Linked DNA regions of Neodiprion lecontei. The protein of the gene in region 2 interacts with the protein of the main gene of each other region in a pairwise test. Links are inferred from orthologs where the notes say so. Each region holds a gene or a part of one and is shown on either strand. Other genes may lie near its edges.

Region 1 (7,462 bases), on a different chromosome or scaffold from region 2:
TAATTTTACAGACCGAAAATTAGTAATATGTATACCTATCTGATATCGGGTATTCTCATATGAATTTAAATGTTATTGTACGATCAATAGTAAACTACAAGTATAATTACTTTGGAAGGAGTATAGAGTGTCTATTAGACTGGGCCAAAAAAAACGAAGAATTTTTTTTTTTAATGTTACTGTAAAAACATTAAAAAAAATTATCCTGAAAGTTTGAGCCCTTAATATTAATATTAAGGGGTGTATCGTTACAGCTACTAATTTTTAAACAGTTACCGCATTTTTTTACCCAAAATCCGTCAATTATCAATCTGAAAAATTTTATTGAGAAAAAAAAAAAAAAAGAAACAAAATGGAGTTCACATAGCAATGTATTTTCACATTTTCATCAAAATTTATAGAAAAGTCCATTCTATGATGAGATTGATGAATGCTGGAATGAATGATTACTTTGGGCCTGAGGACAGCAATAATAATTTTCTAATAAACTAGTAACTTTGGTATTTTTTGCAACGAATTTATTCACTGATGTTTTCATTACAATCGCTAAACATTTTTCTTCCTTTTTCTGGGTATTCGTTTGATGTAAAATTCTTTTCTTTTCGCATACTCTGCTGGTGACATGGACTTTTAATTTGTCGTGTGACTTGGTATGTAACAATTATTTCAAGTCACTTTGTATAGGTATAATTGATTTTCATATTTTGTACATCTACATAAATAATACAGCGATGAAAAATCTGCCATGAAATCCATCAAGCAAAGCTCCATTTGAAAACCTTGATTTTGTTTCGTTGGATAATTGCTACACAGCTTTAGGATTTTCATCTATTTCACTCTTTTTTGGTCATTAAAATATGCGTAAATGATGTGATAATTATCATCATTTGAAACTGAGCGATGATTATTCATATTATCACTAAAAGAATATAATTATACGTTTGACCTATGCTAGTAAACATTTACAGTATGTAATAGACTCTCTTATGTCATGTAAGGTTGCGCATAAATTATGCTCGAATAATATCATATATTTAATATGTTACAAGGCAAGAAAACAGGCGTACATGGAAAATGATAGTCTGAAAATCAGAATCTTACAATATAAATGAAATTGATAGATCCACTTAAAAGTATTGCTGTTGCTATAATTAACAACTATATCACTCAGTTCAAATAAGTCGAGAGACCGAATAATATTCACATTTTCATTGTCTCTTTTTCATTATCAGTTTGTATACACTCAACCTAAATTACGATTAAATTATTTGCCCAAAAGTGATATTAAATGCCCAACACAATATAGGTACGTAATGTAGAATCATTTATGTGAATATTAGTTTGCTTTTCAATATATTGAAATATTAAATATATATTATATATATGTATGTATATGTGTGTGTGTGTGTGTTTAAGCTTTTAAGCACACTGTGGTAAAAATGTATAAAGTGTGAATTAAACTCTTTTATAATAAATGTGTCAAAGTTAAAAGCACGTTATTCTTGAAGCTCCAGCCCTGTATAATGGCAATACTAAAACATTTTCTGTCATGTGCAGATTAAATTAGTACATATACCACATACACATGTACCCACATGTATGCTGAAAATCGAATCGCAAATAAATTTATTTAATGAATGGGGTCTTTTCCCTTCTCTTTCTTTGCTGGTTCAATTTCACCACCTTTCCTAAAGTATGAACAGACTAGTAAACTCAATAGTCTAAGTCAACATTTATTAAACAGATGTAGCCTGTCTCACTCAACAATTGTTTCGTTCGCTTTTATATTTACAATAAATAGTGCGAACTTTGCAAAGTAAAATCATACAATATGTCGATAATTGATAAGGCAAAATTTATCTTATTAAACTGAGTACAGTCAGTTATTCATAATATTATGAGTACTATGATAAAGCCATACTACAAATGTGATGGTCTTTTGGAAATGCACTAGAATCAGATCTATAGAAATTATAACTGCTAGAACTGTGCGTAACATGAAAGTTTGCTAGTGTACGCATACATACGTCTCACGTACACTTTTGGACCGAAAATATCATTGAAATATAAAATCAAATTATACGTACTGGCCCAGGGGAGCGAATATAGCATTAAAATTCTTTTTCATGGTTGGAATAATTATACACAATTCACTTCTTTTTCGATTTTGGACTTGTGGATTGAAAAACGCTCGAAGCTGACATCAAGTTTTCAATATACTGACCAAGGACCTGATTTTCACTTCGCAACTTCAAGTTTTCTTCTTTGACACTGTCTACTCTTTGGGATAAATCTGTAAAAACAATTGAACACGTTGGAATGTATGTAATCCATTTTGTATAATTAATATTGCTTAAGGTAAATCCATTTATTTTTCCTCCATAATTATTCTTCAGAACAATCACTGCGTATTCAATTTAAGAGTGGTTGTACAGGACGATTTTTAGACACCAACAGCCAATATTGAACTACGCGATGATATTTTGAATAAATATTCTAAAGAGCATTATGATGCAATTAGGATTTATATTCAGCAAAACGTTAATCTAATGAAAGCATTAATCTGAAGTAATGATATCTATGGAATAGTACGAACCGTCCAGAGTATTCTGCAATTCCAAGACCTGAGCAATCAATCTGGCTTTTTCTTCTTGTTCATCTGGGCTAATGTCTGGATCCAAGCCTAGGCAAAATTTAGATAAACTACATATAAACAATACGCAAAGGCAAATCTTATCAACAGATACAAAAGACGTTCATAAAAATTTAGATGAAAGTTATAGCTTTTTTACGGGACAATTTTAAGGTGGATATCTAATTATTAATCAATATCTTACAAAAATTATATTCCTGCAAAGCCAAATGACAATGACAATCATTTTAATTCGAGGAAAACAAAGAAATAAAAGTTATTGAAGGTAAACTGACTAATTGTACATAGTAAGATATCATTTTTTGTACATTATCTGGATTATTTTATTTGAAATAACCAGCTTAGATAGATTGACCATATATTTCATTTTCATATAGATGAATTTACTGTTCATCTTCATTTTTGCATGATATAACGATGAGTTAAACTGTTTATATGGAAACAAAGGCAACACTATTCGGAGTCAAGACTCTAATGTTATTATGCAAAAACATGTAGGTCAATGGAAACGTCTTTCTGAAAAAAAAAAAAAAAACTTCGTAATCTACGATCACTGAGAAAGAAGACTAAAAAATTATTTGCAGCAACATTTTTTTATACCACACCCATAGAAATATATTATGAAATCAACAATTCTCTTTTCTCAATAGATTAGGAAGCTCCTGTTCATATAGTCATCTTTTTGATTATCTAGATAAAAGTTGGGAAATTTCATCCTGTATGGAAATAGTTGCATCAGAAACTATCTTTCATCTTATCTAAATAAATTTTTATATGAATAATTCTGTGTTTATCTAGATAATAATACTCATTCTCTTGTAAAACACTGTTTTGTAATAATTGGCAGTAACGGAAAGATTACGAACCATCTTCTCACAATTTGGAGCGTTTGAAATATTACCAACTGATCCAGTGAGATAAAAGAAAGTATCTTAGTCACTGGGTAAATTAACATACATCAAAAATGAATTAACTTAATTGTACGAAGATTTAAATACAAATACATAGAAATTGCAATCAGGAAAAACAGATATAAATTCTTTGATATTTTTAAGGGTTCTTGAGTGAAAATTCAATTATTTACTGAATGTTTTATGATAGGAATTTTGTACAAATGGTAAAATTCAGAGACAAATGTCGGTTTTCTCGTCCTAAAGCTACAGGATTACTATTTATTTTTATCTCCTGTACCACATTTGAAAAGTAACATTTACATTTAAAACTCGAACTTTGAAAAGAACTGCATTTCGGTGACATATTTTTTCATAATGGTAAATTAACTAAAAGGGTAATTGAATGGAAGCATTAATTCGCTCATTTACCCTTTCAGTTAATTTACTGTTATACAAAAATATCTCACCGAAATACAGTTCTTGTCAAAGTTTGAGCTGTCATTTCTTTGATAATGGTAAATTAACCAAAAGGGTAAGAATATCAAGACCTTTACTTCAAAATCGAATTACAGTAACATTCTGCAAAAACGTGATCAAAACTACTTTTGGCGATTTTACTGGCAGGATTATTGGTAACAATCTGGGCATGATAATTAATGATTTCACGACATAAGGAATCAAACTCCAACTTAGTTAAAACTAAAAAGTAAGGAAATGTCATTTAAGAAATTCCCTAGAATGTGAGTAAGACAAAAGGATATTTTCATACTAATAGTAAGTTTTCTCAAATTTTAGAACATTCATCTGTGCACTGGGTAACACGAGGCTGAAAGTAACAGCTGGAATTAGCAGCCAAATGTTCTAACATTCATCTAAATAAGGTAATGAAATCCGAAAATCAAAATTTTGAGACATATCTCGTATCCCGAATACTTTAATAGAATTATGATGCTAAAACTGAACTGCATTATTCTATTTCCAAAAAGTTCAATACATTTGGCTACCAACTCTGGCTGCTAGCTTCAGGTTCATATGAATACTCTGTGAATCTTAAATGGTGTAATAGTACAGAAAATTAATATCTGTACAGGAAAAGTTGATAACAATTGCACTATATGATTCATTCGATAAAAAAACATAACGATGTATTACTGTTAGGGCTGCTGCTGCCATTGGTGAATGTTGAAGGGATGGAGTCCATGCTCCGACCATGTACAAGAACATCCGAAACATGGGACATGTTGTCGGGAGCTTCCTCCTCAGGAATGATGACTAAAAAGTAAATTCTCCAATTGAAATAGGATAATTCAATGAAAGATTGTTGGGGAATCGATTGAACGATATTAAATACGTGCACAAATGTTATTCTCGATTATGTAGGTCACACAGTGGACATTTGCATGTTCTTATGTGCAATACCCACCCTGAGGGTCGTCATCTGCCAACGGTATGCTACTCATGTCATCTTGTAATTTTGCCCCGGACATCATCGACGTAGACATCGCCGGGATTATATTCTCGCTAAATTATCAGGGCTTACGATGATTCGTAATAAGTGTGGAGCTGTTCTCTGACGTCCGTCTGTATTGATTCAACGCATTTATTACTTATTAGGAATGTCACTTAGTGGGATTTACTATTCGTTTATTATTTCGTCGATGTCCGATTGGAAGTTGATTTTCACTCGAATTACTGGGAGTATTTGTAATTAACGTTTAACGGGTTTCATTAATTTAATATTGACTTTACGGTCAATCAACTTCCGCACATCAAAGTGTTCGCCATTTATTCGGAAACACGAAAATTGGCAGGCAGCAGCGGGGACAGACGATCCTATGAGTCATGAAATGTGAAACAAGACAGGAAGAGGTTCATGGCTGTATAAAAATAAAGGATGAACTGAGATGGGCGATCTTCAGCTCGGTCTACAATAGACGTATACCACGGAGTAGTAGGAATGGGACAATCGCGACAACACTCTGCAATAAAACTTGTCCACAGTTTTGAGGTGAACTAAGAAGAATCGTCTGCATGCGATTTGAGCGCCTTTTAGGGAAAAAAGTGAAACTCTCGCTATAAAATGTACAAAAAAAAAGGGTGGTGATCGTAACCTATAAACCTCCGTGCTTTAAACTATAGACTTATAAAGATAGACTGAGCGCTCCCACAAGAGGCACTGACAGTTACATATAAAGGACAGAGATATACCGGGAGTACTGCTCTCTCTCTACAATCGGTGTCATGATGGGAGACAACGGAACAGTGGAAGTCGAACAGCTATGGACATAGGCGCATAATTTCGCCGCATTCTCCTCTACCGCCTCGATCCCCTCCACAAATATCGTCAGAGAGAGAAGGCAGTACTCCCGGCATATTTCTGTCCTTTAAATGTTTGCTTCAAGTGGCTGATGAGAGCGCTCAGTCTATCTTGAAAAGTCTATGCTTTAAACACACTGCGTCGATTCGTAAAATACGCATTTGAAGTGACGACGCATATTGTTACGGCAATGCTCTAAACATTCGATCGCGTTGTGCGTAGCTTACGCGGTGTCTTCAACCGGCCGCCGAGACCATACAGATATATACAATAGAGCGTAAGCAACGGTGTAAGCGTTCCGTGAACGGATTCGAATCGGTTCTTTAAAGGACAGCAGATAATAATTCTACAGAGGAGAAAAACAGCTAGGCAGGCGCGTGCCGCTACCCCCACTCCATGTGAAGAGCGACAAAGAGGGCGGGAGAATTATTATCTTCCGTTCTTCAGAGAACTGATTTAAAGTTTCCTCTGAGCGCCGTGCAGCATCAGTCGTTTCCGAGCAGTCGGAGCGAAATTGCGTGCTGTCAGTATCGGTTCAACATTCAGACCGCGTTGTTCAGGTGGTGTCACGTTGTTCGATCAGTGTATTTCCACCATACTCATCGGTGAATAATAGACGAGGAGCAGCGTGTAGCCTGAAGAAAAACCGAGTTATCGAAATAAAAACATCGTGCGAACATTGAAGGTGAATTTCGTGTACGAATTTTCATTGTTTTGTGTAACTTCAGATTTCAGTGATGTCTATATTTGTCTCTATGCGTGGAGTGTCAATTTTATTATTTTTTTCGCTGATTTTCGGTAAATGCGCAATTGCATTGTTAGCAAGTTTATTCAGTCGGTTCAAACAGACAGCTACAGCCCAAAAAGTGAGTATAGTATCGAGTGCTAGTGCTATTGCGGTGCTGATTTTGTGGATTGTAAGAGATTAGTGAAAATCTGTATTGTGTAAAAAGTGCGTCGCTTCACCAATAACCCTGAGATGCTACAAGAAATACTACGTGTAAAAGCGTGGAGCAGCCCAGAGTCGAGGTAACAATGCTTATTTTAATTATTGATTGATAATCCAAGGTGGTACATTTAAAATCGAACTTTTGTTCTTGCATAACATGCAATGCATATATATGAAACTAGACAACAGTAATTATTAATTTGAAAACTGAAAGCCAATTTACAGTATTAATTCAAGTGTTCTATTTTGTTTTTCACAGCAGAGACTTCGGAGTAACTTTTTCATTTCTCAGCAACGTTGGTGAGTTTGCATGTGTTAGGTTACGGGTATTTTCCTGGGATTCCTCTTGTCACGTGGCGTGGCGGTGACAATTGTTACACAAATCTTCGATTTCTTAGCTGCATGAACATACTCATTCACGTTCGCAACGTGCTTGACTTTGGCGAATAATTTTGTTTTTCGCCTTTTAATTTACCGTAGCCTGCTTAAAGTTAGAAATTTTGCACGTTGCTAAAAGTGGAATGAGAATCGCGACAAGTACCCATCGCTTACTCGACATTCGCGAGATCGAATTGTGTTTCGTGACTGATCTAATAATCTACGTTTGAATTTACCGATGTCGTTTAAGTGGTGGGCTCACTTGAGGTTTG
Region 2 (5,008 bases):
AGGTGAGCATGGATGGAATCGTCGTTGACCGTCGTGCATTATTACACATATTCTACACACGAATTCAATGAATCTGTCTTCTCATTGAAGTCTTGATCTCATCTCTATATTATATTTAACGGCAGGGCATGCCTGACAAGTTGGGGATTTACATTAGGAAGGGTTTATCGCTACGACGACGATTAGTAGGCGTTGACACTAAAGGCGTAGATTAAACGGGAGCAGGAACGAAAGGTTAATGTGTTCGGCTCGCGCCGTCCGGTTCTCACAAACAGGCGGCGGCGGCATTTAAGCTGCAGCCTGCATGCAGAGGCAGCATGCGTAAGTACGTACGTACCTTATATCTACACGCTAGACTACCGGAGAGGATGCGTAGTCGTTTGCCCTGCGATAAGCGGCGATAACCCGAGGGAAGGCGGCCGAGAAAAAATACGCGGTTCCATTCACAGGCGCGTGTATTCAACGGATATACTATAAGATTTACATCCCCAGTTTCAGCTCTCCTCACCGTGACCCACAATAGTGGCTATGAATAGGTCAAGCTCTTTAGTTTTACTTTAGTGTGACATACGACGAGAGATATTCGTAGGTGTGTGCAGGTTACTGCTGCACAGTATCTACCTATTTTTTTTTTTTTTTTTTTTTTTTTATTCATAACCAAACGAAAATGAAAATTAGTTTTTCAGCTGTAGCTAGAAAAGTTATCGTGCGTTACTGTTATTTTTGATCATGCTCGCAATTTCGAAGTACCGTTAATTGTAACGAAATTTTTCTCATTCTTTTTTAAACTGCTTCTAGTGGTGTTGCTACTGCTGCTGCTGCAGCTGCTGCAATTGCTGCGGGGAATGAATGAGTCGCCCCCTTCAATTGCCTCATTTTTCAGCTGTCCGGTACATACAATCAAAAAGGCGACTCATCTCTTTGTCTTCATCGGGCTGGTGTAACTAGGTGTACACGTGTGTGTAGATATATAACCGATAATTTCGCTCTATTTGTAGTGAAGAAGTGAAAAATAGCTGTTGCGGTGACACGATGTAAGCGGACGCAGTGATTAACAAACGTGGACGAATAAATTACCATAGAATTTGTGTATCGTGTACATGAAATTTTTTTCAATTTACGTGGCTGTAAGATAAGCAGCGGATAAGTGGATGGTGTTGACTATGGATGCAGGTCATGTATAACAAGATAATTCGAAACCTCGGAGTTTCGCAAATTATTTCACATAAAAAGTTTCAGTTGACAGGGTGTGGATCGACAAAATCTGGAACGAAAATTTTATCACAGGTTATTCTCTGATTCTTTTTTATATAGAAGCAAAAGTGGAAACTGTATTCTTCCGCAATTGATGTAGTAATAAAAAATACTTTGATGCAATTATGAATTTGATGTCTTTAATTTCTAGATAATTAATTTTCTACGCTATACACAGTATTTATTTCATTTATTTATTGTACTCGTACTTTTGCCAATATTATTTACTTCATTTATTTTGCACATCTTATTCATTTTACTGTCGTTTTATTTATTTTTAATTTCGTATTATATTTTTGTCTTCAGTTCTACTTTATTATTCTATTTTCAACTTTCCTATCTATCATGCTATTCTTCTATGTGTATATTTCCGCATCTTATCATTGCGACCGTTGGTTCGTTCTGTTTGCTTGTCTTATGTGTATAAGAAGGAATTGTCCTACTAACGCAATAAATATCATTATTATTATTAAAATGAATTCCTCGCTTTGATCTCCATATTTTTTTCCAACTTTCCCAAGGATTTCGACGTTTCCCAAATTTGTGTCCATCGGGTGTGTTCAGAAAACTTCACGAGGCGGTCGAATTCGTAACCTTAATGTGACGTCGCGTTTTCTATAACGAAAAATTGCGATTTCGCAATTTTAAAATTCTCCGAAATTCAGTTCGCATGTAAGCCGCAATGAAACTATTTCAAGTCATTCTCATCAGACACCACAGATTTTCTTTGCAATGTTTTGTTTTTCATACGTTAACCAACGTTGCTAACTTCAGTCTCGTGAAATCTTCACGTCTACTAGTTACTTTTCTCCGTCAGTTCACGGAGGTATTCGTCCAACAATAAAAATAACAAAGTAAGCAAATAAACGTAAGAAGATCGTATTTAAATTCGGTAAAATTCTCCCTGATCACATCTGCGGGTAACCATAACGTAAAAATGTTAAAGAAATTCACCGAAATCGCGCGCCTCAAGGTAGCCGCTGCCAACCTGCCGGCACCTGCGGCACGGACCGATCATACTTTGTTTTAAAAAGGTTTTCCGAAAGGTGGATGTGTGCTCGAATCTCGGCCCTTCTCGACCCCGAATCACTTGGCGCATCCCTACCGCGTTTATCCTTTTCTCGCGACGAAAAGATATCCTTTTCAACATTCTCTCCACTCTTTCTTTCCTCATTCCAGCTACCAGCATCGTCGCTGTTCATAAATACTTCGGTCCATTTCGGGGAATGTTATGTCGAGGGGATAGCGATTCGCGGCTAGCTTCAAGCGATTGAAATAAAGAAACAAAAGCCGATCGCGAGGAGATTTTTTACCGCCTCATATGAAACGGAGTTCATTCTTCAGCACAAACCAACAACGCAAAGTGCGAACAATAACAAATACCCGCTCAGCTCAGTCAGCAGCCGCTTTACACGCGGAGGAGGGGGGAGGGGGGGAATGAAAAGGGTCGAGGCAGGAGAGAAAAAATAAAATTGACCATTCCGCACCTGTCAGCAAGTTGATATTCTTGAGGCTGGACGTCTCCTCCTCTTCGAAGCGAGCCAGGGGTGCTTCAAACTTTAATTCGGCCATTTTACCAGCCATGTCCCTCATGATAAACCACTTGGCACAGTTCGGACAGGGAGATAAGCCACCGGTAGAGACACAATCACTTCAGCTTGAAGTAAGGTTGTATTTTTTTTCACAGGGACGAGGAGAAGAAGCCTACGCGACGACCGTATCAATCCTGCTCCTCCGACGTTCGGAGGGCGACTGAATCAAGGAGGGGAAGAGAATGTTGGAGCGAGGAGTGGGGGGCAGATGATTCGACGTTACCATGCCGACCGTCAGGAGAAACACGACGCGAGTAACGGGAGGGGCTCTCATCGCCTCCCTGACGACCGCTCTCCTGTTCCTCCGCGAAAAGATTACCCGATTATACATACCTATACGTAGATATCTTTCGATCCGACATCAACTCTTACGATTACCTCGAAAGGTATCAAGAGACAACATTCCCGCCCTTCTCTTCCGTGCTCGTTACATTTTTCACGTGCAAAAATCTTTGTGTATCCGGTTAATTTTCCCAAGCAGGTCAACGTATTCTTTTCATTTTCATTTCTATTTGTGTTTATATTCTCGTTTTTTTCCGGTCATATTATTCGCTAAAAATATTTTATGATCTTCTTTTTTTGTTTAGTCAATCATTGTGGTACTGGAAATATTAAAGCTGTTAAGTTAGAATTGAAAATATAGATCGTAAAAGAGTTTAAGATTCAGGGAAATTGTAAAGTCCCAGAGGGGCCAATAAAGATATAGAATTGATGACGGTATTTTTCGTTTTTTCATTTGTCAACACCGAGTTGAGTTTCATTCGTGCAAAGCTGGTTCTATATGCGTATTATTATAATTAGAACGCTTCAAAATGAGGTTGAAACTTTCTCGTTTGAATCGTGCGCAATATGACTGTCGACGATGTTTACCTTTACATTAAATCGCCGAATGGCGCACGTAATGAAACGTAAGACAATAGCCAATATAAATTCATTGCTCTGCCTATGGCGCTTATAATTGAAACGTTAGTTCTCGCTTTATAAGGGGCCGATTTTTTTACCATTTGATGTGAATTCAAAATGATTACTTATAAAAATAAAATTACACTATACCTTTTATCACCATTCCACTCGCATTCACCGCTTCGTTTATCAATATTTAAAAAATCTTCACATTCGCTGTTGCACGTGCAAAGCTTAGCGTAACACAAACCAGTTATATTTTTCCTATGCTCTATATAAGTATACCGCAGAGAAACAGAGAGTGCATAAGTGTATTAAAGAACGAAGACCACTGACATAATATTGCGTTCGCGCAAGGCGAAGGCTAATTGGGCATAATTTTGTTAATTATACTACGATGTACCGATTACTTCAAAAAATGAAATATTCGAACCCTTGCAAATTGCAACAGCGTTTCGTAAATAACGTCGCTTATAATTAGCGAAGTTTTCCGTTTCGCAATACGTAGAACTGTCATTGTTTAAATTCTGATGAATAAACAATTTCACCCAATATAGTAGAACTATTTTTTCTGGTTTTACCAGCTTGATTTAAACCAAAGTTGTGCTTTGCGTGAGTGGAAATATAATTGAATAGGGTGCATATTGAGGCGAAAAATTGATATCGAATGCTGAGAACTATCCATCAGCACTTTTTAATAGTTAATCGGATTATTTACGTGAATAATTGACTCGCCTACCGAAACATCTTGTATTTATGTTTTAACCAAATTAGGGAAGCATCGTTTATATCATAATCGCGGGGCAACGTTATACCGAAATGTCACCGCGGTAAACTAGTCAATAAGCGACTCTATCTAACAGCATGTAGCTGAAGCGTAAATGAATGACCGAAAATTGTAATGCTCAGCCGACTTGTCAGAAATCTGTCGGTAAGACAAGAACTATACCGGCGGTGAGCTGCAAGGCAGATGGCGCCTATATTCAGAAACCCGCCGTACCGGTACGTATGTTAAGTCAGCAGCTATTAGGCGCTAAATTCCTATGGCGCGAATTTAGTTTTCTGTATTTCGACGGAAAGGTGATATTTAGGTATGGTTTTGAGGAATATTTAGAAGGCTATACTTCCAAGATTATTTTCAGAACAACTTGAAACGAAAAATTTCTTTACTCTGACAATTTCTGAAAGATTTTGACGTGCACATAATTGAAAATGCATGTGGATAATATTGCAACCCACATGAGGATTAATCTGTCCAC

Evidence for each region. The genes of interacting proteins can lie anywhere in the genome.
Region 1: the proteins of fasciculation and elongation protein zeta-2 (region 2) and short coiled-coil protein B interact in binary tests that used the Homo sapiens proteins (3 or more experiments, as listed by UniProt). The link is inferred for Neodiprion lecontei from reciprocal best matches to the Homo sapiens genes FEZ2 and SCOC.

What each region holds. Positions count from the first base shown.
Region 1 is NC_060266.1:18,747,905-18,755,366, reverse strand, and holds short coiled-coil protein B, read right to left. Parts: upstream 5,435-7,462; 5' UTR 5,049-5,434; coding exon 4,970-5,048; intron 4,819-4,969; coding exon 4,699-4,818; intron 2,684-4,698; coding exon 2,597-2,683; intron 2,294-2,596; coding exon 2,151-2,293; 3' UTR 502-2,150; downstream 1-501. UniProt on the Homo sapiens protein: Positive regulator of amino acid starvation-induced autophagy.
Region 2 is NC_060265.1:20,723,414-20,728,421, reverse strand, and holds the start of fasciculation and elongation protein zeta-2, read right to left. Parts: upstream 3,026-5,008; 5' UTR 2,848-3,025; coding exon 2,742-2,847; intron 1-2,741. UniProt on the Homo sapiens protein: Involved in axonal outgrowth and fasciculation.